Linked DNA regions of Notamacropus eugenii. The protein of the gene in region 1 purifies or fractionates together with the protein of each later gene. This does not show direct contact. Links are inferred from orthologs where the notes say so. Each region holds a gene or a part of one and is shown in the gene's direction. Other genes may lie near its edges.

The links.
Region 2: the proteins of FBL (region 1) and DDX24 purify together in Homo sapiens (affinity purification with mass spectrometry; 3 studies listed by BioGRID and IntAct, with this or other methods). This does not show direct contact. The link is inferred for Notamacropus eugenii from reciprocal best matches to the Homo sapiens genes FBL and DDX24.
Region 3: the proteins of FBL (region 1) and RRP9 purify together in Homo sapiens (affinity purification with mass spectrometry; 3 studies listed by BioGRID and IntAct, counting the BioPlex papers as one, with this or other methods). This does not show direct contact. The link is inferred for Notamacropus eugenii from reciprocal best matches to the Homo sapiens genes FBL and RRP9.
Region 4: the proteins of FBL (region 1) and NOP56 purify together in Homo sapiens (affinity purification with mass spectrometry; 6 studies listed by BioGRID and IntAct, counting the BioPlex papers as one, with this or other methods). This does not show direct contact. The link is inferred for Notamacropus eugenii from reciprocal best matches to the Homo sapiens genes FBL and NOP56.

What each region holds. Positions count from the first base shown.
Region 1 is NC_092876.1:32,316,229-32,324,114, reverse strand, and holds the start of FBL (rRNA 2'-O-methyltransferase fibrillarin), read left to right. Parts: upstream 1-4,878; 5' UTR 4,879-5,003; coding exon 5,004-5,013; intron 5,014-5,804; coding exon 5,805-5,957; intron 5,958-6,058; coding exon 6,059-6,175; intron 6,176-6,350; coding exon 6,351-6,445; intron 6,446-6,919; coding exon 6,920-7,090; intron 7,091-7,409; coding exon 7,410-7,542; intron 7,543-7,886.
Region 2 is NC_092878.1:35,535,597-35,543,346, forward strand, and holds the start of DDX24 (ATP-dependent RNA helicase DDX24), read left to right. Parts: upstream 1-4,734; 5' UTR 4,735-4,845; coding exon 4,846-4,873; intron 4,874-7,750. UniProt on the Homo sapiens protein: ATP-dependent RNA helicase that plays a role in various aspects of RNA metabolism including pre-mRNA splicing and is thereby involved in different biological processes such as cell cycle regulation or innate immunity.
Region 3 is NC_092872.1:3,026,400-3,033,801, forward strand, and holds the start of RRP9 (U3 small nucleolar RNA-interacting protein 2), read left to right. Parts: upstream 1-4,386; 5' UTR 4,387-4,624; coding exon 4,625-4,699; intron 4,700-4,933; coding exon 4,934-5,028; intron 5,029-7,402. UniProt on the Homo sapiens protein: Component of a nucleolar small nuclear ribonucleoprotein particle (snoRNP) thought to participate in the processing and modification of pre-ribosomal RNA (pre-rRNA).
Region 4 is NC_092877.1:46,628,002-46,635,741, reverse strand, and holds the start of NOP56 (nucleolar protein 56), read left to right. Parts: upstream 1-4,738; 5' UTR 4,739-5,252; coding exon 5,253-5,255; intron 5,256-5,643; coding exon 5,644-5,733; intron 5,734-6,111; coding exon 6,112-6,226; intron 6,227-6,301; coding exon 6,302-6,463; intron 6,464-6,607; coding exon 6,608-6,806; intron 6,807-6,877; exon of another isoform or gene 6,878-7,016; intron 7,017-7,119; coding exon 7,120-7,307; intron 7,308-7,397; coding exon 7,398-7,549; intron 7,550-7,708; coding exon 7,709-7,740. UniProt on the Homo sapiens protein: Involved in the early to middle stages of 60S ribosomal subunit biogenesis. Required for the biogenesis of box C/D snoRNAs such U3, U8 and U14 snoRNAs. Part of the small subunit (SSU) processome, first precursor of the small eukaryotic ribosomal subunit.

The sequences.
Region 1 (7,886 bases):
AACAGGCAAATAACTACATATGTACAAGATACATACAGGATAAACTGGAGTTAATCTCAGAGGGAAGGCATTAACATTAAGGAGGATTGAGAAAGGTTTCTTGTAGATTGGCTTTTAACTGGAACCTGAAGCAAGTAAGGGAAGACAGGAAATGGAGATGTGGGGTGAGACAACTCCAGGCATGAGGTACAGATAAGGAAAATGCCTGGAGTCTGAAGATGGAGTGTCTTCTTTGAGGAATGGGAAGAAAGCTAGTGTCAGTGAACCTCAGAATACAGTTTGTGGAGGAGGAGAGTGAAAAGACTGGAGCAGTAATGGACTAGGATATGCAGGATTTACAAAGCTAAACCTAAGAGTTTACATTGGGTCCTGGAAGCAATAGGGACCCCCTGCTGTTTACTGAGTAGGGGCGTTCATAGTCAAATTTATACTTTGATAGCTGAGTGGAAATCATTCTGGAAAACAGTGGTAAGATGGGGACTACCTTGTCTATGCCCTGGAAAGGACAGATAATCAGTAATAATAATAGAGTTTATAGGTTCACAAAGCACTTTTACATATGCTAGCTCATCTGGCATTTATTAGCTATGTACTTAATGCCAAGAAGTATGCCAGTGTTATTGCAGAAAACTCAGTGGTTCTTAAATATCGCAGAGACATCCTCCATTGCCCTTAAAGGAAAAATTGTTGTATTCCTAAAACAATCTACACAAATAATTTTTAGCTCATGTTTGACTAAAATAAAAATGGGACATTCAACTTAAAATTCATTCAAAAGGTAACCGATTAATTGTTCCTGAGTTATTTTAATTTTTAAGTTGGAGATGTTTCAGAAAACCAAGTCATTGAGAAATATAACAGATACTACAGCCCTTCTAAAACTATACACAAAGATTATTTAACTTCATATTCACACGATTCATGTGGAAATGCAGCAAGCAGCTAGAAGGCCCATGTCACCTGACCCCATGCCAACTGGCTAATGGCCACAGCAGTAGATTACTCCCACATGGAAATTTGTCCAACAGGCACCAACACCAATTTGACCTTGTTTGTGCACACACTGTATTATATAATCACAGGGCTGCATGCCATCCCTGCCAGACTGAGCAAATTCACCAGGATTGATCTCAATTTTTGTTGACATTGGTTTGAACTTTTTTCCATTAAAAAAAGTGGATGTTTTTTATGTGAGAATTGAAGTAAAAAATATTCAATAATGTTGACCACCACTTTGTGCTTTGTGTCTGGCTCCCTTTCTGACCCTGGACTGGGAAGACCCTGAAATTTGGAAAACTGTGCTTTATGGGGAATAAGAGAAGGTAGGAAAAGGATGTAAATGAGACTGAAGTTATGTGCTTGGACTGTTTAATTTTTTGAAATCTAGTTCAGAGGTGAAATTTTCTTATGTCCCAAAGTCTAACATTCTGGTTTTAGAAAAACACTGTCAGATTTATTCACCACCTTTGGTCATCTCCCAGAGGACCTCTGCTCCCAACCAGTGTTTCCTGCCTGGGGACACAGCACCTCCAAGCCTTTTTCTCCCCAAAGAGCCTAATTTGCAGAGACTCAAGGCAATTCACTCATTCACAAACTTCATGTCTCCATGTTCTTTCCTCACCAAGTTTCTTCCCACCACTCAAATCTGCTTAGTTATGACTCAGACTTTTGTCTGGGGTAAACTCAGTTCTGGATCTATTTAGGGAAATTCATGTAGCTGGGGGTGTCATGTGTGGCTCACAGGAAGGGAAGAATAGACATGTCTCATGTCTCTTCCCCTCAGCCTTCTCCAAGAGAGACTTGGTATTTTGCAAGAGACTGGAGCCAGAGGCTGACCATTCTGCTCTGCTAAGAGAGAGGGGAATACTGGGCTAGAATTCTCTCTCTCTGCTCCCTTAAGTGTTATTAGTCTAGCCAGAGTTATTTAAGCTGCTCAACTTATTTCACCTAAAGCCCCCATTAAACAAAATTACTCAGTGCCCCCCTGGAAATCTACCCTTTAATGGTATTTTTGAAATTTGTATAATTTCAAAATAATATAATTTTTAAGTGACACATTTTAAATTTAATAATTTGTTGTAAATTTGTGGGGTTTTTCCTGCATTGCAATTTTGATGATGCAATATTGCTTCATGTAACCGTATAGTATCATATTGTAAACAAGTCATTACATACACATATTCCTGCCAATGCATGCTGGACTTCCAGACAATGGGCGACATACTCACCTGCCAACACTTGCTTGTTAAGACCTGTCAGTGGACTTGACCACTGATTGGTTGTAACTTGCATTTTGTGTGTTTATTTGTAAACTATAACTAACTCTGTTACACAACAGATAAAACATGTATGAACAGTTTTTCAAAATTTTCTTCTCTTCTTTCTTATGCTTTCACCACCCCCTTATTTTTATTCAATACCCCCCAATTGCACCTGAGGCTACTAACACACCTCCCCAATCATTCCCGTGCCCCCCAGGAGGCAGTATTGCCCACTTTGGGAACCTATAGGGCCTTCGGAGATGCAATTTTTAAGGTCAAGTTAAACTTCTAATCTCTATGAGTTAATAGGGAAAGTCCAAGCTTTACAGCCAATGCTTGACCCCCTTCCCACCAAACACCAAGTCCACAATGAACATTCACATTACAAATAGCAAAGACATTCATTTTTCCAAGTTGATAGTAAAATAGAAATCAGAGAATAAAGACTGAAGATGCTTTGCTGGGAACAAGGTAACTCAGCTCAACCAGTAGAGAACCCCAGAGATCACCCAAGAGGAAAAATTTCTTTAAGCCTCTAGTATAGAAAACTGTGGATAGCGATATAATGAAAACTGACAGCTCCTTGAATGCTGGTTTCTTCCCAGTCTTTCTCTCCCTTCAGCTACTTTAGGAGAAGTTAGAATGATCAATCTTCTTTCTCAGAGGTAGAAGCCAGAACCCAGAGACTGAAGATCAGACCTCTCTTCTTTCTTGGGTTCACCAGTTCCACTCTGCCCCCCACATAAGTACAGAACATTAATTTTTCACCAATGAGGAGAGCGTTTCATACCAACAGGCTTTGGAGCTCAGGCTATATTCATAAAATGTAAAAAATCCATAATTCTTTCACATTACTCTCCAACGCAATGACCAAGCACAATTCTAGAGAACCGATGATGAAGCAGGTTACCTACCTCCTGACAGAGGTGATGGATTCAAGATGCACAATGAGATACAGTATACATTTTTCAACACAGCCAATGTGGAGATTTGTTTTGCTTGACTATGCACATTTGTTACAAGAATTTTTTCTTCTTTTTAATTTGGTGGGGAGGCATTAAGGAGTAAAAATTAAAATATATTTTCTAAAAGATTCTATATTATTTAGCTCAGATGACCCCAAGCAGGATCAAATCCTGGCAATTTTTCACTAAGGTCCTGAACCTCTGTCTGTATTTATATATATATATGGTATACAGATATAGCATGCCAGTTTTTACAGCTCCCCAAACACATATCATAAAGCACATTGTCCAGACCCGTATTTGTTGTCATTGCTGTGAAGTCTTTGTAACTCCTTTTGGGGGGATGTCTTCTTGGCAAAGATCCTGGAGGGGTCTGCCATTTCCTTCTCCAGCTCATTTAACAGATGAGGAAACTGAGGCAAACAGGGAGAAGTGACTTGCCCAGGGTCACCCAGCTTAGAAGTGTCTGAGGCCGGATTTGAACTTACAAAGATCAGTGTTGCTGATTCCAAATCCATATGGTGCTCCATATAGAAGTTTAATTTTTGCCTCCTAAAAACTAAATTTTTAATTTTCCTCCATTTTTTCTATGTTCAAGAAACTAGATGATTACAGTCCATAGAATAACTCAGAAGGGGGGGAGTGAAAGCGGAACCATAGAAATGGATTATTTTTTAATATGCTGAACAAGATCTCCTTTCATCCCCTACATCGGTGGTGCTCAAAAAGACTCCTCAAGATTGCCCAGGACCCCTTAGGTCAGGGGGATCCATGAGGCCAAAACCATGTTTTATACCCAGAGGCTATCTGCCTGTTCAAAAACCTGCCCCTTTTCCAACTAGGTATCTGGGTAAATACACCTCATATACTTCCACCAGAATGAAATAGCTAGACAGACTGAAGCTGACAGATCCAGAAATACCGCAAATATGTCACCATACACTTTCTTTTGACATCAAGCTTTTCCCCGGACCCCTCCCACCTGACGCCAGGGGCCTGCCCCTCCCCCCACCTTTCAGCTTCCTTCGCCGCGCGGCCCCTCCCCCTCAGGTGGGAGCTCCCGGAGGGCAGGGCCGGCCTCCGTTCCGGCTCCTCAGCGCCTGGTGCCCAGGAGGATCGTGGAATAACGTGTGTTTCTCACCAAACTTTGAGGAGCGCCGCCCTGCTGGAACCAGAGGAGGAAGAACAGAGACAGGTAGCGAGAGAAACCGCCGCCTCGCGGCCTCCCCAGGCACTGCGGCAGGAGGCCGCCGCCACCTTCACGAGGCCACGAGTCACTTCCGGACCCATTCTCGACGTCTCCTAGGAGACAAAAGCATCTGTTCAAAACTACACTTCCCGACAGGGCACCCCGGCCTCCTGGCGCCCTCGTGACGTCATGACGCCCTACGTGGCCCTCCCCGCCTTCTCGATCCCGGAAATGCTGCGGCCCCGGCCTGGGACTTCGTAGGACTACTTTTCCCAGGATTCCACCGTCCCTTGCGAGGTGACGTAAGGGACAACCGGGGAGGCGGGGACAAGAGAAAGGTACCGGGTAAACCTAGACTGCGCAGGCGAGAGAAGACCCGTCTCGGAGCTTTCGCGTTCCTGCCTGCGTGCGTGCTGCGTGCGTGCTTACGTACGTAACCCGGCGCCGGGCACGCCAATCCCCTCTTGCTTCCCTTGCGGGCTGTAACCGGGGGTGTTGGAGGCCCGGTGGCCGCGTGTCTGCTGGCGGCCGCCGTGCGGGGCGACCCCGCTGCTGCTTCCGCTTCCTGCGCAGAGCGAGCCGCGTGCCATGAAGCCAGGTGAGCGCGGGGCCGGGCTGGGGAGGACTGGCGGGCCCAGACTGGGGCCGGGCTGGGGAGGACTGGCGGGCCCAGACTGGGGCCGGGCTGGGGAGGACTGGCGGGCCCAGACTGGGGCCGGGCTGGGGAGGACTGGCGGGCCCAGACTGGGGCCGGGCCAGGGCTTGCGCGCCTCAGTTGACTCGCCGGTAGCCGGAGGCCCGCGGACCGTGGCGCCTTCTCCGCTCTCTCGCTTTCCAGCCCTCCTCGCCCCCGGCGCGGAGGGGCGGCTCTGGTACGGTCCCCGTTTTACCGGCGAGGAAACTGAGGCAGGCAGCCTGGGGTAGCAGCTGGGAAGGGTCTGGGGCCGGATTGGAGCTCGAGCCGCGCACTCCCGCGTCCTGCCCGCAGCTTTCGCGAGGCCCGAGGCCGGGTTTGGTGGGCCTGCCCGATCGGGCCGGGACCCTCCCCCTGGAGCCAGGCTGGGATGGCTGTCACCGCGGGGGTGGGAGGGGCTGGGCCCTTCCTCGGAGCTGCTCCGGGGAGAGGAGGGAAGGGCCTCCAGCCTCAGCACCCCCACCCCTCCCTGGGCCTCCCGGGTTCCTCCGTAGGGGACGGCGGGCTTCTCTGTCTCATCTCCCAGATGCACTGACAGCAGTTTGGGGCGTGATAAAGGGTCTCCCGTGCTGTGGGGCTGTCCCCCTCCCCCCATTCCCATGAACGTGAACGTGGAGCTTCCTCGTCACCTGGGGTCCGGGTGAGCTGGCAAGCGGCCGAAGAAGTTTCTGGCTAACTTATTTTTTTGCCCGCAGGATTCAGCCCCCGAGGGGGGGGCCGGGGGGGGTTCGGAGGTCGTGGCAGAGGTGGTGACCGAGGGGGCCGAGGAGGCTTCGGGGGCCGAGGAGGCTTCGGGGGCCGTGGCCGGGGCGGCTTTGGAGATCGCGGTGGCCGAGGAGGTGGCCGAGGTGAGTTGAGGTCGCCGGCTCACGGGGGTGGAGGGAAGGAGCACTTCCTCCGGGATCTATGTTGGACTGTCCAGCCAGCAAGGAATCTTTGCCTCCCGCAGGAGGGTTCCAGTCCCCTGGGGGTCGGGGCAGAGGCACCCCCCGGGGTCGAGGCCGGGGTGGCAGAGGAGGTTTCCAAGGAGGAAAGAAGGTCACTGTGGAGCCTCATCGACATGAGGGTGAGTGAGGACATGTCCAGTGCCACTTTTCTTAGCAAAGAAAGTGGCAAAACGGCCATTGTGCAGTTTTGTTTTCTTTGTTACCAGTTTTCCTCGTTTCAGAGACAGGGGATGCCTGGTAGAGAAGAAGGGGGTGCCCATGAGTCACATTGGCCCCTCTTTTTTTTTTTTTCAGGAGTTTTTATTTGTCGAGGGAAAGAAGATGCTCTGGTCACAAAGAACATGGTACCCGGGGAGTCAGTCTATGGTGAGAAGAGAATCACTGTGGAGGTGAGGATGGGACCTTGTGGTGGGAGGGGATGTGGGACAGGCTCCCATTTCAGTCAGTCATGAAGTATTTACTGAGTCCTTGCTCACAAAACAGTCTAGTGGGAAAGGTGACATGGCAGTTATCATATAGAAACAAGTCATATACAGTACAGAATAAATTAGAGATGATCCCTGAGGGAGACAGTATAGAGGGGCATTGAGAAAGGCTTCTTGTAGAAAATGGAATTTCAGGTTTGAAGGAAGCCAGGGCAGGTAGGAGATAGAGGAGGTAGGGAGAGCCTTCCAGTTCTGGGGGAGCATGTCACCAGTGAAAATGCCAAAGTTGGGAGACGGAGCATCCCGCAGATCAGCAAGGCCACCATTGTCGCTGAATCCCAAGTTATGTTGGGAAAGGGAGTAAGGTATAGGACATAGGGAAGGTAGTGGAGGGCCAGAGTATGAAGAGTTGACTCTTGATTTCCTCCACCCTTTCAGGATGGTGAGGCGAAGTTGGAATACCGTGCTTGGAACCCCTTCCGATCAAAACTGGCTGCAGCCATCCTAGGTGGAGTGGATCAGATCCATATCCGACCTGGGGCCAAAGTACTCTACTTGGGAGCAGCATCTGGCACTACTGTCTCACATGTCTCTGACATTGTGGGCCCTGTGAGTCTGGGGGAACCCTTCTCCACTTTCACAAATAGAATAAGAATAGGGAGGGCCTGCTGCCACCTCCTAACTGCTTAAATACAAAACCCAAAGAGCTAGCGGTGAGGTACATTGAAGAGATTCTTCACCTGCTACTGAACTCTGAACAAAGGGGTTTGAGGGCAGGAAGTATGGCACAGAATGATACCTGCTGATTTTTGCATGGCTCCTGCTGCTCCCCAGGTCGCAGGTGCTCTGAGTCTTAGGAGGAAGGGCTTGGTGGTGGGTTCTTGATCATGTGACAGGTGAGGACAGTGAGCTCTCCTCTGCCCCTCAGGAAGGTCTGGTCTACGCTGTTGAGTTTTCTCATCGATCTGGCCGAGACCTCATCAACGTGGCCAAGAAGAGGACAAACATCATTCCTGTCATTGAGGATGCGCGACACCCCCACAAATACCGAATGCTCATTGGTGAAGGCCTGGGGCATCCCTACCTCCATAGACAGGGCTGTGGGGCGGAAATGATCTGTGCTGTGGCTAGAGAAGGCAACCAAGTTGGGGCTGGAAGGTCCTGAATTCAAATGCCACCTTAGATAAGCTGTGTAACCCTGGGCAAATCACTTAATCTGCAGGGGACTTGATTTCCTCGGCTGTTTAAAAAAAGATTTTTGTCAAGCTTTTTGCAAACTTTAAGGCGCTATGTAAATGCTATTATTATTTATTAGAAAGGAGTGTGATTTTAATTTCTGGGAGGCAGCTGGCCTCTGAATTTGGCCTTTATCCTGTGGACCATGGGGAACGGAAGAAGGTTTCGG
Region 2 (7,750 bases), on another chromosome or scaffold:
ATGATAATCTGTGTTACAGCGATTTGCTTATATGCATGTCAGCTAATCTAGGATCTGGGCTACCCTGAGGATTTTCAGCTGTGGCTGGACAATCACCCCTCCATTTGCTTATCATTAAGGGTAATGGGTTAGAATTATGTCTACTAAACATCAGATATTTGCAGTCTTGGGGTACAATGATCCTTTAGGGGTTCAAGATAAAAGCCATTTTCTCTGGCTACTCTAAAATGAGGGCAACGGTGTACTCTTGGACTGCTTACCTCCCTCCCACCAGTGGCTTATTACACACAAAAAGATCAATATTGAACATACATATTTATCAATGTAAGTAGTAAAACAGAAATTGAGGATGCCATTCCTATTAGATCAGACATCAAAACACGTGAATTAATGGGCTTCTCTCTTTGGGAGTGAGATGAAATCTCAGGTTAAACAAAAGAAAATGATCTCACCCAAGAATTTTATTCTTAATAGTCTTTGGGGGTACAGGTGCTGAGAATTATGGGACATGCTGGAGGGTCAGCTTTCCCCATATGCCTGCAGCCCCAGAGGCTCCTGTTAGACATTCAAAATTTCATACCTTCTCTCATACCAGTCTTTCTCTTTACTTCTTTCTGTTTCTCTCATCCTGTCCTTGAAATAAACTGTAGCATTAGCCCAGAGTTATCCTCCAGGGAACCATCCTTGCCCATGTGGGCATTGAAATGCTATCAAAATGTAAATTCTTTATTAATAAAAATGTTTCCTGCTTTAAAAATAGTTCATATTTCTGCAGTAATTTCAGGTTTTAAAAAATGCTTCCTTCATAACAACAGTGTGAATCTGCTAGTTCTAATATTATTCCAGTTTTACAGATTTAAAAACAAATAACTGGGGGTAGGAGAGTTTATAATGTATTCAAATTTTCTGGACTATTATGTCGCAGAATTTAGACTTAAAGGTCTGCTGACTCCACATCCAGTATTCTTTTCACAATATGCTGCCTTTGCCCTTTCATTCTCTTGAAAGGAAATTCAACAATAATCAGAGGCCAAAACTTAAATACAGAGACAGAATTATTTTTTTTATTTGTTTTCAACCTTTATTTTCACAAAATTTTGAGTTCCAAATTTTCTCCCCATCTCTCCCCTCCTCTCACCCCAAAACACCTTGCATTCTGATTGCCCCTTCCACCAATGTGCCCTCCCTTCTAACACCCCTCCTTCCCTTATCCTCATGTTCTCTCTTGTCCTGTGGGGCAAGTAAAGTTCTATACCCCATTACCTGTATGTCTTATTTCCCAATTGTATGCAACAACAATTCTCAACAGTTGTTTCTAAAACTTTGAGTTCCAACTACTCTTCCTTCCTCCCTCCCCACCCATTCCCACTGAGAAGGCCAGCAATTCAATATAGGCTATATATGTGTAGTTTTGCAAATGACTTCCATAATAGTCATGCTGTGTAAGACTAACTATATTTCCCTCCGTCCTATCCTGCCCCCCATTTCTTCTATACTCTCTTTTGACCTTGTCCCTCCCCAAGAGTGTTAAGTTCTAATTGCTCCCTCCTCCCATTGCCTTCCCTTCCATCATCCCTCCCACCCTGCTTATCCCCTTCTCCCTTACTTTCCTGTAGTGTAAGATAGATTTTCATATCAAATTGAGAGCGCATGTTATTCCTTCCTTGAGCCAAATGTGATGAGAGTAAGCTTCAATTTTTCCCTCTCACCTCCCCCTTTTTCCCCTCCATTGGAAAAGCTTTTTCTTGCCTCTTCTATGAGAGATAATTTGCCCCATTCCATTTCTCCCTTTCGTCTCCCAATATATTTCTCTCTCACCCCTTAATTTTGTTTTTTTAGATATGATACCTTTCTATTCAACTCACCCTGTGCTCTGTGTGTGTGTGTGTGTGTGTGTGTGTGTATAATCCCTCCAACTGCCCAGATAGTGAGAAATGTTTCAAGAGTTACAAATATTTCATCAATAAAATACATATAATGATAAAAGTTCAAAGGATTATAAAACTTATACCTGAAGGGAACCTGATAAATCATTTATTACTCCAATTCTCTTATTTTACAGCTGAATAAGGTGAGGCTCATTGATATCTAGTGACTTGCTGAAAAGAACAGATTGGGAATTCAACTCAGGTCTCCAGACTGAATTTCTAGGACTCCTGATTGAATCCTTGGTGCCAGCCCACAACACACTGTGTTTTTGGGAGGAGAAGGTTTTGTGAGGAAAGCACTGTTTAAACCTTAGAGCAAGTAGAAATAGGAGCTGTTAGTATTATCTTCCAAGTCATTTATTTTCAACTGTTTGTGACTTTTGAACCTTTCCCAGGATTCTCTGAATAGTTGGGGGAAAAAATGAGATACCTTCTCTAGATTCAAAAAAATCTTCATCTCTTGACTATAGCAGAGATACCACGCTAATGGATTTGCTAATAAATGTTTCAAGACAGAATGATGGAACAGAATGATGGAATGCTAGGTCCAGATACACATGACTGGTGCTAATCTTTTTAAAGAAAGGCTTTTTGTTTTTTTAAGTAGCCTAGAATGTACTCCCTCCTCTATGCTGCCTTTCTGAATCCTTACCTTCCTTCACAATCAACTCAGGAACTATCTCTACAGGAAGCCTTCACTCCCCTACCTTGGTCCCTTAAGAAAATGGGTTCAAATTTAAATCAGTTGTTACAAAGCATTGACCCCTTTTAGTTGACTTCTGAACGCAGCATAGATATTTGATGAGCTATTCATTCCTTGATGAAGTGGCAACTTGGCAGCCTATGCAAGAGGCCAAAAAGGCTTGGCTTCAGGCAAACTTTGGAATGGACTCCAGTTTCTGGACCTAGGGTGACCATCTCCAATATTCCTCTTGGCTATCTCCAAAATTCATTCCCTTAAGAGCATGAAATAAAGGACACAACTGATACCGGTTGAACTGCAGGACTTGCTTTCTCTACATTCACCATGATGTTTCTTAGAGCAGATGACAATCAATAGGAGGATGAGACCAAGCCCTGGTTTGTCTTGCCAGAAGATGTGGACTGGGAGATTTTGTTGAATTCAAATATGTAAGCTCTTATTACTTATCTGTCAATGTCTTCTTCAATCAATTAATCAGCAAGTATTTATAAAATGTATGTACCAGACACTATGCTAGGAACTGAGGATACAATCTCTGATCTCAGGGAACTGACTTTCTATCAGAGGAGATAACATATACATAAGTAAGCATACACAAAATAAATACAAGATTTTTTTTTTTTGGAGGGGGGTGACGAATAGGTAGAGGAGGAGAGTAGGAAAAGATTCATAGAGAAAGTGTCATTTGAACAATTTTGAAGAAAAATCTTTAAGTGTTAAAAAAAAAGTGTTTATTTGATCCTTGAGGTAACAGGAAGCTAATGGAGTTTACAGAGCAGGGGAGTGGTGACCTTATGAAACGAATGCTTTAAGACAGTGGTTCTCAAAGGGTGGTCTGGGGTCCCTGAGATTCCATAGGGGGGGCCCAGACCAAACTTATTTTTATAATATTAAAATGCTGCTTACCGATTAAAATGCTACTCCATTTTCCAGTTACATATCTGTGTGATGCTGGATTTTCTTCCTGTGCTTTAACCAAAATAACATATTGAGACCTACTGAATTCAGATTGAGACTCTGTTGTCTATTAAGCCAGATATTAAAGAGATTCACAAAAATAAGTAAAACAATACCGCTAAATTTTTTGTTTTGGAAGAGTTTTCATAAAAATGTTATTCATGTTAACATGTTATTGCTATTTTAAAATGAATCAGTACTTATTTTAAAATGTCAGTTTTAATTTCTAACATAATGAAATTTATACATGATAATTAGTATTTTAAATTTAACATTCTATTTAGTATAATTTAATCTCTAATGGATAGATACAAGAGTCCGTGGTGTGATACAGCCAGCTCATTCAGTCTCTGCAGAACCAGTGAAGATTTTTCAGTGTGAGCCTTATACGGGTAGCACTGAAAAATGGTACAAGTTGGGGCTCCACTTATTGTTCTGCAGATTTTCTAGACTTAAAGTGATACAGAAAACTGTTAATAATTCAGAGTTAATCCCATAAAGTTAATTAAACTTAAGAATGTGTTGGATGTGTGTTTTTTTTCAGAGAGCTGGTTGTTAAACATGACCAGCACACTCCCTGGATACAACCCACATTCCCAGGCTCTCTGGCATCTTCTCCAGACCATCTCCTCTTGTTTCTCCAGGAGACTGCCCCCATCCTCTCTCTCCAATCTCTCTACTGTTTCTTTCCCCCCAAATCTACCAATAGACCCAAGTTTCTCTCATCCTTAAAAAACCACACAGAAAACCCTTCACTACACCCCACCACTACTTCCAGCTACCCAGCCTGACGGCTCTCCATCCTGAGACAAAGCTTCCTAAAGGGATTACCTGTCCTCATTCCCACAGCCACTACCTGGGTTTAGACCCCTGTCCCCCTGTTCGGGGGTACAGCAATCCTTTCCTCATTAGCCCCCCCGCCTCAAGCTTCTCCCCGACTGCTCTCCCTCCTCCACACAGCGGCCAAAGTGACTTTCTTACGATAGCAGGACTTGGACAATGGTAAGCGCTTAGTGAATGCCTGCGAACCTGACTCCACTCCACCAACTTCAGAGGCAGAGTGAAGCCGGAATGGGAAGGGGGCGGGCCCGGCCAGCTCTTCATCTCGAGTCCTGATTCAGGATTGGCGGAGCCGCTGGACCAGCTGCCAATAACGTTGCGCCGGGTTTGGAGGGGCGGGGCTTCGTGCTGTCATGGCCGCCCCCATGAGAGACACGCACGTGGTGTGGGTTTGCGGAAGAGGCGGCAGCGGGAGCCATGGCGGCGGCGCGGACACCTTCACGCGGTGAGTTCCCGGATCCTCCACCTTCCTCCTCCTCCCCGCCTCCTCGTGAAGTCCGGTCCGGGACGGGCGCGGGCTGCGTTAGGGGTACTGAGAGATGGAGGGAAGGACGGGAGGGAGGGAGGGAGAGAAAGGGGCTGGAAGGAAGGAGGCCCGCCCCGAGCCGCGCCGCCGGGCCTCCGGGCCTGGCTCCGTGCGTGGCTCCGGCGCGGTCCGAGCGGCGCGCGGCCCGCACCGAGGGGACCTCGGACATCAGCTCCAGACCCGCTCTCTCCTGGGCCTTGGAGCCTCCCCTTCCATTTTGCGTAGGGAGGAGAAAGTGAGTTACGGTCCTTCAGTCCGTCCGGAAACGGTTACTAGGCGCCCACCGCGTGCCGGCCAGTCGTGAAACGCTTAGGAAGTCTGTCCTGTGTGCCAGGCACCGGGCCGAACCCTTCGCGTGTAAGAAGAGGCGGGAGAGCCCCTGCCCCCACGGAGGGTGGGCGTGTCCGCTTTTCAAAGCAGGCATTTCCTCCGCCGCGTTCCGAGTTCTCCACACGCATGGAGACAGCAAGTAGTATGGTTAGCAGCTGTGCATATGTGCACGCATGCTAAGTATGATGAGCAGCTGTGCATGTGCACGCATGCTAAGTATGATGAGCAGCTGTGCATGTGCACGCATGCTAAGTATGATGAGCAGCTGTGCATGTGCACGCATGCTAAGTATGATGAGCAGCTGTGCATGTGCACGCATGCTAAGTATGATGAGCAGCTGTGCATGTGCACGCATGCTAAGTATGATGAGCAGCTGTGCATGTGCAAGCATGCTAAGTATGATGAGCAGCTGTGCATGTGCAAGCATGCTAAACGTGATTAGCAGCTGTGCATGTGCAGTCATGCTAAGTATGATTAGCAGCTGAGCATGTGCAGTCATGCTAAACATGGTTAGCAGCTGTGCATGTGCAAGCATGCTAAGTATGATTAGCAGCTGAGCATGTGCAGTCATGCTAAGTATGATGAGCAGCTGTGCATGTGCAAGCCTGCTAAACAGGATTAGCAGCTGTGCATGTGCAATCATGCTAAGTACGATGAGCAGCTGTGCATGTGCAAGCATGCTAAGTATGATGAGCAGCTGTGCATGTGCAAGCATGCTAAACAGGATTAGCAGCTGTGCATGTGCAAGCATGCTAAACGTTTCCACATTAGCCATGTTGCAAAAGAAAGCAAGGAAAATAAGGTGAAAATTATACTTCATTCAGTCTGTATTCAGAAATGAATTTATATTGCAATTTAATGAGTTTGCAATCCTGTTTTTTATGCATTTAAGAGCATTATTCTGAAGTGTCATCCAGGTCAATCTAATGGGAGAGACAGTATGCAAAGAAATATATAAAACAAGATACAGAGGAAATAAGAGGGAAAGCACTGGAATTAAGATGGTTTGGGAAAGGCTTCCTGTAGGACTTGGGATTTTATTTGAGACTTCAAGGAAAAGGGATGGGGTGTGTCAGTAGTTGTAATAGGGGAGAATATTCCAGGCATAGAGGACAGCCTGAGAAAATGATAAGAGGAGTGTCTTGTTAGTGAACCAGCCAGACCGCCTGCTGAGCATTGGCGATACAAAGAAAAGAGAAAGACCCTGCCCTTAAGGATCCCATAGACTATTATTTGTTGTTGTTCAGTCATGCCTGACTCTTCGTGACCCCATTTGGCGTTTTCTTAGCAGAGATACTAGAGTGGTTTCTCATTTTCTTCTTCAGATCATTTTTACAGGTGAGGAAACTGAGGTAAACAGGGTTAAGTGACTTCCTCAAGGTCATATAGCTAGTAAGTGTCTGAGGCCATATTTGGTACTGGACCACCTGTTTCCACTTATAGTCAGTTAGTTAACATTCAAATAACTAGGTACAAATATATCTATGATAAATAAGAAAGATATTGGAAATGATCAGAAGGAAGGCACCAATCTGGAGCCATGAACTTTTTGATCAGAAATATTTTGAGAATCACGTTTCAATTTAATTAGTTTACTTTGTAATCTTGGCTTCTGAGGTGTCTTTTAGGCAGTACATTAGGCCTGGAGTTTTGTAAGACTTCAAATTCACATTTAAGCAGTATGACCCCAGGCAAGTCAGTTAACATTCTGTTTTCCTTTGTTTCCTCTTCTGTAAAATGGAGCTAATTGAATACTACCTATCTCCCTGGGTGATTGTGAGAATAAAATTGAGATATCTGTTTAAAAAAACCACAGAAAGCCCTCCAAAATATTAGATTGTGGCTCCTTTCTTTTTTCCTATTTATATCCCCAGGATTTAGTACACTGTGCTTGGCATATAATAGGTGCTAAATAAATGTTTGTTGACAGTCAACTTAGCATTTTGCAAACCTTGAAATGCTTTTCTGAATGTCATTATTTTAACAATTTTAACATAACTGGACTTTTTAAAAAAATGACCCAATGCATTTTATTTTCTGCATTTAAAGACATTCTAAGTAGGGGTTCGTAGGTTTCACCAGATTGCCAAAGAATTCCATGGCAAAATAACATTAATTCTACTGTCCCAGGCTGTTACTTGTGTACCTCCACTCACATTTCTCCAGGGTGCCTTCTGAACCTTGAAACTTTACCTTTAGCTTTCCAGCCGTATCTGGCTGCAGTCAACACCTCCCTTCTGTCCAGGCTACTTACTGGAGTTTATCATGGAATGTAGAGTTTGAAGATCCCATCTAGGCCAACTCCATCATGTGTATATGAAGATACTGAGTCAGGGAGATGTTAAGTGTTAAGCCCCCCCTTAACCCTTGTTCTGCCTTCACAGATGACTTTGCTATTCTCCCATTTTCCTGCTCACTCGGTCTCCGACAGTCATGTTCCTCCTTATTTTCTTCTGTCTCTCAGTC
Region 3 (7,402 bases), on another chromosome or scaffold:
GTCACTTAACCCTGCCTGCCTCAGTTTCCTCATCTGTAAAATGAGCTGAAGAAGGAAATGGCAAACCACTCCAGCATCTTTGCCAAGGAACTCCAAACGGGGTCACAAAGAGTCAGACATGACTGAACAACAACAAATTATTATTATCATCATGATTAAAGAGGCATCCTCTTCACAAGGAGGCAGCCTGGATTGAAAAGAGCACAAGATTTGAGATGAGGAGATCTGAGTTCCAATCTCCCATTCACTAGTTAGAGTTCAGTCTCTGAAGCTCAGTTCTGTCATCTATACAAAGCAGATAGTAATAATACCTGGGCATGATGAGAATGATGATGGTAGCTGACATCTAAAAGTTTGCAAAGCACTTCTACGTCATTTCCTCACTTGATTCTCCACTGCAGTCCTGTGAGATAGGTATCATTCACCTCCTTCTACAGACAAGGAAGCTGAAAGTCAATGGCTGCAGCCTCAGGATCTTAAAACTAGAACCCCCAGAGGCAGGCTGCAATCCTCAAGCAGCCAGCTGCCTAACTGCCCCCTCTTCAAAGAAGCTCCCTCATGCCTCAACTAAAAGCTTCTCTCTCTCTCTCTCTCTCTCTCTCTCTCTCTCTCTCTCTCTCTCTCTCTCTCTCTCTCTCTCTTTCTCTCTCTCTGTCTTAGAGGTAACAGGGTTAGGTGACTTGCTCAGGGTCTGAGGCTGGATTTGAACTCAACTCCAGGGTGGGTGCTCTATCCATTACACCACCTAGCTGCTCCAACCTTCTACCTTTCCTATAGTCTTTTGTCTCACCATACTTGTGTACCTGTGTACATGCAGTGATGCTCCTAGTCAACTGGAAACTCCTTGAAGGCAAGGTTTATGCATATTCAGGGAAGAGCCTTGCACACAGAAGGGATTCAAGAAATGCATGGTGGGTTGGATTTATGCTTTATATTTAATGCACAGGGTCATCCATTTGATCAGCATTTATTAAGCACCGACTACAATCCTGGGTTGGATGCTTAGGGATATAAAGACACATAAAAGGAAAAACACCCTGCCCTCTGCATGGTGGTGGTGGTGGTGATGGTGGTGGTAGTGGCGGTGGTGGTAGTGCTAGGACATTCTCACAGAAAAGGAAGTCCAAGAAAATCTGAGGAGAGGAGTAATGTACCCCACAAGGAGGAGGATCAGAGTATCTGCAAGCCTCAGGAAGGTTACCTGGGCCATATGGGTTGAGCTAAGAAGGATGGATGGATTGTAACAGACCAACCCTGCAGAGGAAACACATTCTAGGCCTAGGAGCCAGTATGTCCAAAGGTATGAAGGTGGGGGTGGAGATCAAGTTTAAAGAAGAGCAGGGTGGCCAGTCTGACCAGGACCAGACTGTGTGAAGGGTTGTAACAGAATAATCGTTCAGAGCTAACAGGGGCCCCAGGCCTCATACAGTCCAACCCTCTCCTCCTACAGATAAAAAACTGAGGCCCAGGGAGGTCAAGTAATTCATGCAGATGCAGCCTTCAAAGGGGCTTCAGAGGTCACGTGGTCCAGTCCCCTCATTTTACAGAAAAAGGTGAAACCTAGGGAGGTTAAGTCCCAGGTCATGGGCAATAAAATTAGAGGTGGGATTTGAATCCAGATCCTCTGACTTCAACAGCCACAGCTTTGCCACATGACCCTACTGCCTCCTGCCAAGAGTAGGCTGGGAAGGGCTTTGAACGTGGTGCCAAGAATTCTGCATTTGATTTTAGGAGTAATAATAGGGAGCCACAGAAGGTTTTTAAACAGAATGACACAGTCAGACGTGCGCTTTAAGATTAGTTTGGCTGTGTGAGGATGGTTTGGAGCAGGGAGAAAACAGAAACAGAGGAGCCAATTAGGAGGCTGCGGCAATTGCCCTGGTGAGAGGTGATCAAGGCCTAGGCTGGCAGAGCCGCCTTGTGAGGGGAAAGAAGGGAGCAGGTAGACCGGTGGAACCAACAAGACTTGGCAGCTGACTGGAGTAGGGAGGGGAGAGCTGGGAGCTGGGGAGAAGAAGAAATGAGGATGACTTTAAGGTTCAAACTTAGATTACTGGAAAGACAGTAGTACCCTGTCTAGAAATAAGGAAGGTCAGATGAGGGGGAAGTGTAGGGAGGAACATTATGGGTTCCCTTTTTGTTGAGCTTGAATTGTCAAAGCAAGAGGGTATGTATCCAAGTGGAGAGAGAGGTCCACATTAGGCTGAATACGTAGATCACAGCCACCTCGGGAATAACAGTCTAGACAGCTTTTATGGTGGTCTGATCCCTTCCTTTCTACACTTGCCACTCCAATATCCAACAGGATCCTAGCTAGGGATTGGGCAAGGGATGGGAGCCACTGCATATAACAAAGGGTGGGGAGAAACCTCTAGGCTGGAGGCCTGGGATCAGTCATGTCTGAGATGCGTCAGTCAGGAGAAATACCATCTCCTCCAGCCATGCTCATGCCCTTGTGACAAAGCCCCAGTCACTCTCCTAAGCTGTATCTTCGACATAGATTCAGTCCTCTAGGGTTAGAGACCAGCAAAGGGAAGGCCAGAGTTTCATGGACAGGGCTTCCTATTAGGAAGTGAGCACCATGAGACCATCTTGGGATTTTCCCAGGCACCAAGCATGGGGAATAGCAGATGCTTCATAAGTACTTATTTTATGAATGAAAACCATAAACTTGAGAACCACAGTCACACCTTTCTGTCTGTGGGCCAGGAAGGGTTAACCTTAGGGTGAACTCATGTCTTTACCTCCCTGGGGATGCTGTTTCTGGTGTAGCACCAACCACTGGGCCTCAAAAGAACTCTGGACCATGCAATCTAGCCCCTGAGGGGTTAAAGGGAACTGGGTAGGAGGAAGACAGCACTTGTAAAGAAAAGGGGGCTCCTATCTGGAGGGAAGAGGCTTCCCTTCTTCCCCCACACCTGACTAGCCTCACCCATGGAAAGAATTTTTTATCTCTGTTTCCCAGTTCACAAACTCCTTCCCAAGATATCTAGGCCTGGCCCACATAGCCTTCTCCCTTTTTCTATCAATTCCAGGAATGCTCAGCTCCCCCAGGCTTGGCACAGTCCTGGGGCTGAGTCACTAGATGGGATGGGGCAGGAAGAAGGTGGGGGGGTGTAGGGGGCAGGGGAGTAAGCCTGGGGGGAGGTAGCTTTTGTAGTGGTGGTGGTGGGGGCTCAGATCAGAATGGCAGAGGGCTCAAGCACAGAGGATGGAAGGATCCTGAGAGAGGGTGGGCATGACAGTCATACCAACCTAGACCCCGGAAGTCATTCCTAGCTCTTTGGTCCAGGGCTGTGTCCATTATCCCTTGCCTCTCCCCACCCTTCAGGGTAACACTCCTCCAGAGTCTTTGCCCTAGAGCCAGGTATCTGAGACCCTCCCCTCTTCCAACAACCTCCAGCTCTTGCCAGCCCTAGTTTCAGGCACCTTGTGGTGGGGTTGTTGGCACTCACCTCTGGGCAGCCAGTTCTTGCAGGGGCTTTGAGGCAGGGCAACACTAGGGCTGGTCTTCAGCAGCTGCTTCTCCTCCCCCAGACCTGCCCCCCCCCAGTCCCAGGGTGACCTCAGTATGCATTTCAGGCAGTAGGAGGGGCCACCAGGCTGCCGGGGCAACAGGCAACCCAAGCAGCCCAGATGCTGGGGAGGCCAAGAGGGAAGGGCAGAGCCCGGCTGGGCCCTCAACAATGGGTTGGCCCTGGTTATCAACATGCCCTTTGGGACAAGGGAGGACCTTCAGAGACTGGCACACCCTTTTTATTGTTGCTTCCTGCCCTCAAGGAAGAGGAGGGTGATTAGGGCACACTGAAGTGTACATGTGTCTGGGTGAGGTGTGCTGCCCTGGTGGGGGTGGCATCGCTCCCAGGTGCCATTCCTAGTGCCCGGCTGGCACTGCCAACAGCCCCAGGCTCTCCTCGTCACCAGGGGGTCCCTGTCTGGTGCGCATGCTCGGGAACCCCAGTGTCCAGTTGGCACTGCCAACAGCCCCAGGCTCCCCTCGTCACCAAGGGGTCCCTGTCTGGTGGGCATGCCTGGGCACCCAGCCGGCCCTGCCAGGCTCAGTCACGCTCTCCGTGCCTGCTGGACACACGCTAGTCAAGCCCAGGCTCCTTTCTCGTGCCCAGCTGGCACCACCGCTCTCTCCAGGAGCCTCTGTGCTCAACGCAGGCCCGCCAGTACCCACTGGCACGGCCCGCTCTACCCCACCAAGTGCCGGGCGCCCCCTCCCTCCCCCAGGGTGTATCTCGAGCGCCCTCTAGAAGCTGCTCCTCGGAAGCACAGCAGGCTTGCTCCTCTCACTCCCCCTCCCCTTCCCTTCCCAGACTCCTCCAGTCGGGGGCATGCGCAGTAGCCCCCGGAGCAGGAAGCGGTCACGACGAACTTCCTATTACATCTTCCGCAGGCAGTAGAAGAGCCCTCCCCCTTAAGGGCTGCGGCCATACCCCCCCTCTTGACCTATGAGAGATCCAGGGGCGTGGCCATAGCTGTAGCTGGGTCCTATGAGGGGAGAGGAGAGGCGGGGCCAGAAGGCAAGATCCTATCGGTGTAGAGGGGGCGTGGCTCAGCCTTCCCGGTCAGCCACCACGTGAGCTGCGGGCTTTTCAGGCTGAAGTGTGGAGGCGACATGTCGGCTGCTGCGGTGGTCTCGGGAAAGCGGGGGAAGCCGCCGGGCCCGGGTGCGGGGAAGCGGCGGCGGAAGGTGAGGCCGTGCCCTTTCCCGGGAGAGGCGGTGTCTCTCGCCCCAGCGGGGGGGTCCAGGCCGGGCTCCTTCCCCTCCCCTGGGTCCCCTGGGTCCCCTGGGAGTGCGGTCCTGGGCCTCGGCTCTGCCCTGCTGGGCCCCCGCTTTGCCACCTTCTCCCTCCCTGGGGGGTGCCAGCCTGCGGCTGCCCGCGGGCACGGCCTCTGACGGGGGACGGGGCCCTCTTCTTGGCAGCCCGACGCGGAGGGGGAGAAGGCCCAGCCCAAGGGAGGCCCCAAGAAGAGAGCCAAGCCGAACGAGGAGATTTCCAGCGACTCGGAGCCGGAGAGGTGCGTGGGCCGGGCCGGGCCGGGCCGGGGGCGGAGGCCTGGTGCACCCCCTCCTTCCCCCGACCCCCCGGCAGAAGTCCCGGGAGCGGGGGGGCCGCCGGGGTCAGGGGCAGGGAGGGAACGTCCTGGGTCCCCGCCCCTGCCCACGCGAGCTCCTGGAGAGGAGGGTCCTGAGGCTGGAGGGGGCTCGGAGCTGGCTCCTTGAGGGCACGAACCCTTGGTTCTTGTCTCTGTGCCCCCCGCCCCTGGCACCCGCTGGGCCGTCCCGGGGCCGCGCGTGCCAGGCCCCGAGCCCACTCCTCTCCCTGCGCCGTCCCGCTTCAGCATCTGGGCCTTGGCGGAGGACTCTCCCGACCCTCCCTCGGCTTCTCCCAAGGGAAGCTGCTGGACCTCGGGCTCGGCGTGTCCGGAGCCCTTCCACCGTTCCCCAGGGTCTCCCCTCCCAGGCTTTCCCCACCGCCATCCCCCGGGGCTTCCCCCATCTCTGCCTGGCAGCACCCTCCGTGTAGCCTCCTGTCCCTTGTGCCCCCGTTATCCCAGCAGCCTTCTGCCCGGGCTCCTCCCCTGCTTAGCTGCCAGGGGTTCCTGTCAAAGTCCGACCCGTCCTTTGTGTGCCCTCCTCCCGCCCCCATCGGGACCCTGAGGGCTCCTGTCACTGCCAGGGTGAAATGTAGAATGCCCATCCATCCTCAGCTGGGCCTTAAAGCGCTGTGCCACCTGCCCCTGCCTGCTTGTGCCTTGGCATGCCCTGCACACTCCTGGCTTTTATTCCCCTCCAGGATGACTCTCCATCTGCACTGCCTGTGTCTCTAGGCACAGGTTAGAACTGAGGGCAGGGACAGCGCTTTTGCCCTTAGGCAGAGTAAATGCGTACTGGATGTTGTTGGCTGGCATGTTTGCTAACCATGAACCAGGTTCAGCCCTTCCTTACACAAGGGGGAAGCGACTTGCCCAGGATCGCACTGGTTAGGGAGTTTCTGTTCTGGGCTCAGTAACTGAGGTGCAGAGATGGACATGGAACAACCTCTCCCCTCAAGGAGCTCACTTTTTTGGTTTCGTTTTGTTTTTAAATTATTATTATTAACTTATTTTTTTCAGTTTTCTACAATCACTTCCATGTCTTAATTTTCTCCCCCTCCCTCCCCGCTTCTTCCCTGAGACATTGTACAGTCTTATATGGGTTCTACACACACGTTCTTATTAAACGCATTTTCACATTAGTCATCGTGTGTAGAAAAATTAAAATGAATGGGAGAAACCATGAGAAAAAACATAACATAAGAGAAAATATTCTGCTTTCCAACTCCATAGTTCTTTCTCTGGATGTGGATGGCATTTTGTCTCAAGAGTCCATTGGAAATTTTTTAGGGCCTTGCATTGCTGTGAAAGGCTAAGTCTACCAGAAAAATTCCTCACACACAGTAGTTGTTACTGTGTACAAGGCTCTCCTGGTTCTGCTCCTTTCACTCAGCATCAGTGCATAGAAGTCCCTCCAGGCCTCTCTGAAGTCTTCGGCCAGGCAAGGAGTCAGGAGGAAGTAGTCCCTGATCCAAAAAGCAGAGAGAAGGAAAGAGCCTTTCAGGCATGGAGGACGACCTCGGTGAAGGCACAGAGGGAATGAGTGGATACCTGTCCTGTGAAATGGCCCTAAACAGTGGGGCAGCTGAGATGGGAAGTGATAAGAACTGAGAGGCTGTGGGGGGCCAGAGTGTACAGGGCTCTAAATGCCGGACACAGGTTGTTTTTCATTGTGAAGGCAATGGGGAGCTACAAAAGGGTCTTGAGCAGGGGAGTGGCATGGTCAGAGTTTTAACCATAGTCAGATAGACTGGAGAGAAATTGGAAGCAGGGAGACCCAGAAGCAGTGTGGTTTAATGGTACAAGTTCTGGGCTTGGAGTTAGGATGACCAGGACTGACTTCCACCTCAGAAACACTCACCAGCTCTGTGATTTTGTGGTCCTCAGTTTCCTCACCTGTAAAATGGAGGCGTTGGTCTCTTCCAGCGCTCAGTCTGAGTCTGTGGTCCATCTGGGGGGGTCCAAACAGAACAAGTCTGATCCCTCTTCCACCTTTACATCTCCCTTGAGTCTTTTCTGGGTTAAACACCTTCAGTTCTTTCACTTGATCCTTCTATAGGACATGGATCTGAGCCTCTCTACTGCCCTGGTCTCCTTCTGGATACCCTTCAGCTTATCAGTGTCCTTCCTCATGGTGCCCAGAACCCAGCGTAGGGAGGATCCAAGGAATAAGCATAAGTGTTTTACAAATATCATCTCATTTCATCCTCACACTCCTCTGAGAGGGAGGGGCTGGTATTAGCCCCATTTTACATTTGAGGAAATTGAGGCCTGAGGCCAAATTTGAACTCACATT
Region 4 (7,740 bases), on another chromosome or scaffold:
ACACAGGCCATGTCCCAAAATGTGTCTCATTTTGCATACTGAATCCTTGGTCTCCGTCAGGAAGCATCTTCCAGAATCACAATTCTAGCAGTTGGTCAGAATTCTTAAGTCTTTAAAATCCACTCATTTTTACATGAATTGTCTTGGTCCTGCTCCATTCATATAAGTCTCCCCAGGTTTCTCTGAAATCCCTTCCATCATTCCCCATAGCACAGGACTGTTGTATGACCTTCATCTACCATAATTTGTTCAGCCATTTCCCAGTTGATGAGTACCCTCCACCCCCCCCACCCCTCACACCTTGTTTCCAGCTCTTTGTCATCACAAAAAGAGCTGCTAGAAATATTCTTGTACATATAGGACCTTTTCCTCTTTTATTAAAAGATCATTTTAGGGGTTAAGTCTATTAAAAATTAACAAGGGCTATTTTTACCATTGGGTTGCACTGATGAAGTTTAGTCAGCAGACTAATGTGCTTGATTTAAATAAAATCATGTAGCAATTGCACTTTGCAAATTGCATTTTAACCAGCAATTTTTTTCCTGCCAAAGGATTTAAGACCTTGGAGTGTATAACAAATCTGACCCATCTACTTCACCATTAAGATCCCCTTCAAAAGGCTTATAATGGTTGTGAGCTTTCCCCTGATAAGGCTAGGGGAAAGAGGGCCTTTACTTCTCAGGTCAGGGATTGAGAAAATGCCAGTTCCTTCTCAGTCCCTTTCATGATGTGGCTGTCCTTCCCATCTTATATAGTTTGTACTGTATAAATAATGGCTGAGGGAATGGATGATTCTTTGCAGATTAAGGAGACACTGCCCACGATTTCCAGTCTGTCTTCATATAATCTGTCCTATGGCAACCCTCCCTCAATTATTCTGGCTCTTTTGGCACATGCAGAGGTCATAGGATCCCAATATTATAGGCACCATAGCGGGAAAGGAATGATTTGGGGGCTTATGCTGTAATCCCTGGGGAGAAGGGGCCTACCTTCCTTGCTACCACTGACTAGTGACCAACTGTTACCAATGAGTGGGTAAGCCCAGGAACCCTAAGTCCTCCCCTAGAGCACTGATCCTGCTTCCCACCTGGCCGTGAAGCCATCCATCATCCTGGCAAACAATCCCTATAGAGGTAGGATGTGGTAAATGCTTCTGCCGCTTAAAGTCTGATCTGCGGCCCCTTCTACTAAACACCCAGAAAAGAAAGCTCTCAATACTAAAGTCCTTGACATTGTCAAGTTGTTCAAAATCAGAATACAGGGATGATTATATCCATTTAAATCCATTAAAGAAGATGCATTACCAACTTCTTTGCCAATGGACCTTTCTATAGGACCTGAACCAGAAGCTTCCATTAGAATGTGTGCTCCCTGGGAGCAGAAACTGTCTTTTCTATTTGTATCTCCAATGTTTTGCACACAATAAAACCTTAACAAATGCTTTATTATTAACCCATTCATTAGGTTATAGTGATCCTCGATGTCTACAATTTTAGTCATCTTTTCTTCCTGGGATCTTATATTTGGCCTTAAACCCCTGAGAAGCTGTGCAGAATGAGAGGTCTGCCTACCTCCCTTCCTGGGCAGCTTGGCTGTGTTGGTAGTAGTGTAATGGAAAGAACACTGATCCTGGTCAAGGGACCTGAATTTGAATCCAGATTCTGTTACTAACTGGGTGACTTATGGCATGTGAAGGGGTTAGACCAGATGACCTCTATGGTCCGTTCCAGGTCTAGATCTAGATACTAAATTCCACCTTTATTTACTATTTCGGTGATGCTGGTTAAGTCACTTTACCACTCCCTGTTGCTTCATCTATTCAAAAAAATGATAATAATGCTTATAATACCCATTTCATAGAGTTGTGGGGAAGAAAGTACTTTGCAAGCCTTAGGGACCTATAGAAATGGAAGCTGTTACTCTTACAGTCAGGCCCAGTTCTTCCTCTAAACATCACTGCCACATCTACTAAGTACTTCATGGACATTTCAAACTGAATATCTCCAATGTAATACATCCCAAACTGAACCTATTTCCCCTCTTCCAAACTTTCCTGTTTTTGTTGAAGGCATCACCATCCTCCCAGTCTCCCAGGTTCATAATCTCAGCATTATCCTCCACTTCTCAGACTCCCTTACCTCACATCCCAATCAGCTGCTAAATCTTGCCATCTTTTACATCCCAGCCCTTCTCTCTTCTCACATAGCCATCACCTTGGCTCACTCTCATCATCTCTTGTGTAGACTTTTGCAACAACCTCTCACAGTTTGGTCTCCCTGCTTCAAGACTCTCACTGTTACAGTCTATCCCACACAGCTGCCAAAGTGATTTTCTTTAAAGCTCAGACTTGATCATGTTACTCCCTTGTTTAACCAACTCCAGTTGCTCTCTACCACAATAACTAGTGTTTAACTATTTTTATTCTCCTTATATTTCTTCTGTATGTACTTTTAAATATTCTTATCTTCCCAATTAGACTGTATAAACATCTTTTTGTGTATGCACTGTTTCATTCTTTGTACTAGATTTACTGTGCACCTAGCCCAGTGCCTGGAACAAAGTAGGTGCTTAATAAATGCTTGGAGATTGACTGTTCCTGAGACATACATAAGTGGCTGCCCATCTGACGAACAGTGTAATTTCATCATTACTGAATTCTCACTTACATTAATAACCACCCTTCTATCCAAACAGTTTTACAACAGTCTTTTTCTAGAATTCAGCTGTTAGGCCTGACTTTTTAGGGCCCTACCTAAAGAGTTCATTATAACATGCTATCTGGTTACTAATAGGAAGGAAAGCATTAAACAGGGAGCTATGGCCTCATCAAAAGTATTTGCCATTGCCATGGAGGATGACTAGCACAGAATATAAATTGAAGAGGGTTTTCCATTACAGGATCATGGAGATAAAACTGAAAGAAACTTAGAAGTCATCTAATCCAACCTTGCCATTTTACAGATAAGAAAGCCAAGGCCAAAAATTACCCAAGAAGTAAGTATCAAAGTATAATAAGGCTTTCCAGATATTTCCATTTGCAAATAACATTGTGGATGAATAAAACTCTTGAACAGCAAAGAAACCTCCTAAATAAATAAGATCCATAATCAATCAAAAGTGAGGGATCATCCTTGCCTTCTCATTCTTAACTTCCCACATACGCAGTAAGTTATCTAATATCCAAATTTGTTGTTTCTCCTCAACATCCCTCCTATCTACAACCAATTAACGTGGAAAAAAATCTGTCCTATGTTCTATTTCATACTAATGGACAGCTCACCTCTGCATAGAAGCAGGTGTAGGTGATTTCTTCATACTGGCACAGAACAGCCATTACCCCAGTCCAGGACGGGGGAACCTGTGGCCTCCAGCCCTCAGCTGCCCCCGTCCAAGTCTGAACTATTGCAACATTCTCCAGCATGGCCTCTCTACCTCAAGTTCCTTTTCACTAGAATCATCTTCCATACACAAGCAAAGTCATTTTCCTAAAGCATATGCCTGACTCTGTCACCACTCTACTCAATACAGTGGCTCCCTATTACTTTTAGGATCAAATATAAACTCCTTTCAACATTACTCTTCTCCACACTCTCTGTGGTCCAGTAATTTAGGCCTTCTTGTTAAATAAGACACACACACACACACACACTCCACACCGGTACCCTTTCCCTCATCTCCCTTCTGCCCCTTTGCACTTTACATCCCTTTCTAACATGTTTTCTTTTCAACTCTGGCTCTTGGAAACCTTGGTTTCCTTTAAGACTCGTCTCCAGTACTAGTTTCTAACAGAAGATGTAACTGGTTCCCTCAGTTGCTGTGTCTTCCCCTCAAAGGTTAACCAGCATTTGCTTTGTATGTGTATGTAGTTGTACACTTTGCTTTTTATTTTTAAAAATCTTAATTTATTTTCATAAATTCCGGGAACAAAACAAACACTTCCATAACACGGTAAATAAAAAAGATGACTGCACATGAAACTGCAAATCTGCTTTGCTCTTGCCGCTAAACGTACAACAGTTCTCATATAAACAATTTTTTTTCCTTTCCTCCCTCATCAGGCGGTGGAGCCGAACCCCCAAAGCCCCAAGGCCACGTCCCTGGAGGTAGCCCAGCCCCGCCTCAGTAATTCCCTGGGTCGAGGACAGATGCAGGGGCGCCTGGCCCAAGGATTTCCGTCCCTGGCATGAGCCCCAAGGACCACGCTCGGGCATCGCTTCCGTCCTGTCCTTCGACACGGCGCTCTGAGGCCTGCCACCACGCGTGGCATTCCTTTTCCCACAGGATTCCTATCAGGCCGCACGTTCCCCAAAGGCACTTGGGCTTCTCTAAGACTCACAACACACCTTGGCCGCTCCTAGCCCTTATCTCCCCACCTGGGTAAGGCTGCCATCAGACACAAACACACTGCTTTTCCTTCTGGAAAGCAGGGGCTGTTTCGGTCCGGCCTTGGCACAAGCATCCCTGGCCTGGCACAGGAGGCGCTCAATAAATGGACCGTCCGGCTTGTGCTCCGCGGGGACCTGCCGCCACGTGTCCCGCGGCCACCGAGCGCGGGCTCGCTGGGCTGGGCCGGCAGCCCTGGGGAAACGGGGCCGTCCAGCGTCTCCCTGAGGCAAGTCTGGACAACGCTAGTGGGCAGAGCGACGTGGGAACACTACTGCAGGTCAGTCCCTGCCAGGCGGTGACCTTCGGAAGGAGGCGGGGAAAATATGCGACCGGAAACGGAAGCAGGCCGGCTATGCGTAAGGGGCGCGAGGGTAAACGTACGGACAGTTCACGCACGCCAACAGGTTATCGCGAGAACTGGAGTTAGACTTGCTCTGCCCCGTTCCTCCTTCCCGCGGTAAAGGCTGGTGGTGCTTGAGCCTGCGAGCATGGGTGTTGACCTCTCCCGTAGGTGGACGTGGCTCAGAGACCCATCAGTTATCTCATTTTCTAATACCTATTAGATTGATCGCAGCTACGCTCCCCCAAGGGCCGCTGGTCTGCGAAAGCTCCGCCCCACTCCCACCAGCGCCGCTGGAAAGGCGGGAAGCAGCGCGCACGCGGAGGCCGCGGTGGCGCCTATGACCCTTCCTTACTTCCGGGCGAGGCCATTTTCTTCAGTTTCCCCCTTGGTCTCCTTAATTAATGGTGCCTTCCTCGGGTTCTGAGTGGAGGCTTCCATCCGGAAGAGGCGGGGCTAGTGAGGCTAGGGTTCCTGCGTGTCCGGCGGGAGGCCCGCATTGCGATTGGGGCTTCAGACTGCCGCCATGGTGAGCTGGGTGGGGGCCATGGGGCAGGGGTCGAGGGTCGCCGTGCGGTGCAGCTGGGGGGTGGAGGGAGTCATCCGGCCGGTGGAACTAGAGCCTACTTAGCTATCACGGGTGTGAGGTGGGGAGCAGCCCGGCAGAGGCCAAGGGGCCGCCGAACCTTGGGCCGCGTGCGTGCGGCCTTTCTGTGGGCTGGGGCTGGGCGCTCCCCGCCGGACAGCAGGGCAGCGTAATGCTCGCGGAGCATGGGGCCCTGGGACCTCCCGGAGGGCCTTCGGGGATCGGCCTGTGGGAGCTGGGCGGGCAGCGGGGAGGTGGGCCATGTGCTCGGGCCGGGCCTGAGCAGGTGGGTTTCGCGAACCCCCTTCATTTCTCCCTGGGTCTCTCCTAGGTGCTGCTGCACGTGCTGTTCGAGCACGCCGCCGGCTACGCGTTGCTGGCGCTGAAGGAGGTGGAGGAGATTAGCCTGCTGCTGCCTCAGGTGAGGCCGGCGAGAGAAGCAGGGGCGGGCCGGGGTCCCCACCCCCAACCCAGCCCCGGGGCAGCAGCGGCCGCCGAGCTGTGATGAGCATTAAAATCTGTCAATCCCCTGAGCAGAGTGATGTCGCCTAGTCTCTGAGCACGGTGTCTGCCCCGGTCCGCGGGAGGGAAGGCCACGTGCTCAGCCTCGTCTTAGATCTAAAACCTAGCCTTTGTTTGCATTTCTTGGGGCGGAAAGGGGAAGCCAGCATGGAAAGGGAGCCGTGTGCCCCAGGGCGCACGTTTAGTATCCGCTTTTCCCTGGAAATGGGAAATCGGGCCTGCCCTTAACCCCGACCCCCCCAACTGTAGCGGCCCTACACACTCTTTCCCTCCACAGGTGGAGGCATGTGTGCTGAACATTGGGAAGTTTCACAGTATCGTCCGGCTTGTGGCCTTTTCCCCATTTAAGTCCGCCCACAGTGCTCTAGAGAATGCTAATGCAGTATCTGAAGGTGAGTGGTCTCACCTCTTTTCTGTGATCTTTTGTGTGTCCCCTGTGCCCTTCTAACCTATGCTCTTATCCACAGGCATTCTCCATGAGGACCTCCGGCTTTTCTTGGAAACCAACATGCCGGCTAAGAAGAAGAAAGCTTTGCTGGGTGTTGGGGATCCTAAGATTGGGGCTGCTATCCAAGAGGAATTGGGCTACCCCTGCCAGACAGGTGGTGTAGTGGCAGAAATCCTTAGAGGTAAGATTTCAGGTGAATCACGTGGAAGTCATGTGCCTTGATATGGTAGTTGATTGGGTACCAGATCCTATTCAGGTCCTGTGCTCTGAAGGACATTAAAAGGGTTCTGCTTGGTAGTTTCTTATTCTGCCTGTTTTCTCCCAGGAGTTCGTCTGCATTTTCATTCTCTGGTGAAAGGTCTGACTGAAGTTTCAGCTTCTAAAGCCCAACTGGGACTAGGGCACAGCTACTCTCGGGCCAAGGTCAAATTCAATGTGAATAGGGTGGACAACATGATCATCCAGTCTATCAGCCTTCTTGACCAGCTGGACAAAGACATAAACACCTTCTCTATGCGGGTCAGGTCAGCTCCAGGGTTTGGTGGGGCAGATGTTTAAGCAGGGGCTGGATTTTGGACTGTTCCTCCAGCCCTACCACCTCCTGTTGCTTACCACAGACTGTGTTGTACTTTGCACAGACTGTATAGAAAAAGGAGGCAGAGAGATCTTCCTCTTATACACCTCAGCCAGGAGCTTGCCTGTGCTCTAGCTGTATTGTGAAAGGGGAGACAGTAAAGACTTGGGAATCCAGAGTATTGGGTTTGGGGCTGTGGGTGAGGTGTGGTTTTTCTGGACTACTACCTTTTCTTTCTGTTTAAGATCATCTCTTTTTTTCAGGGAGTGGTATGGCTATCACTTTCCTGAGCTTGTAAAGATTGTTAGTGACAACGCCACATATTGTCGCCTGGCCCGGCTTATTGGCAATCGCAAAGAACTGAATGAGGAGAAACTAGAAGCTCTGCAGGAGCTGACAATGGATGAAGCCAAGGCCAGGGCCATCCTGGATGCATCTCGGTCTTCTATGGGTCAGTGTTTCTGGTTGAGGTCTTTGTGGGTCAATTGGGGGAGAAGAGGATATTCTGTTGTGCACTAATTTGCCTCCTTGTTTTTCCCAGGCATGGACATCTCTCCCATTGACCTGATCAATATTGAGAGTTTTTCAAGTCGAGTGGTATCTTTATCTGAGTATCGTCAGAGTTTGAACAAATATCTGAGCTCTAAGATGTTCCAGGTGGCCCCCAGCCTGTCAGCACTCATCGGGGAGTCGGTCAGTCATTGGGGTGTGTGCTAGGGGGGGACTATTGCCTTACAGCTATTGTCACTTTCGTAGCTCCACCTAGCTGCCTGTTTTCTCCTTGGAGTTAGAGTGGGTTTGGTGGGATCAAGAATACTCTTGACCACAACCTTTTTTTTTCTCCCCTTCCAGGTGGGTGCCCGACTGATTTCCCATGCTGGGAG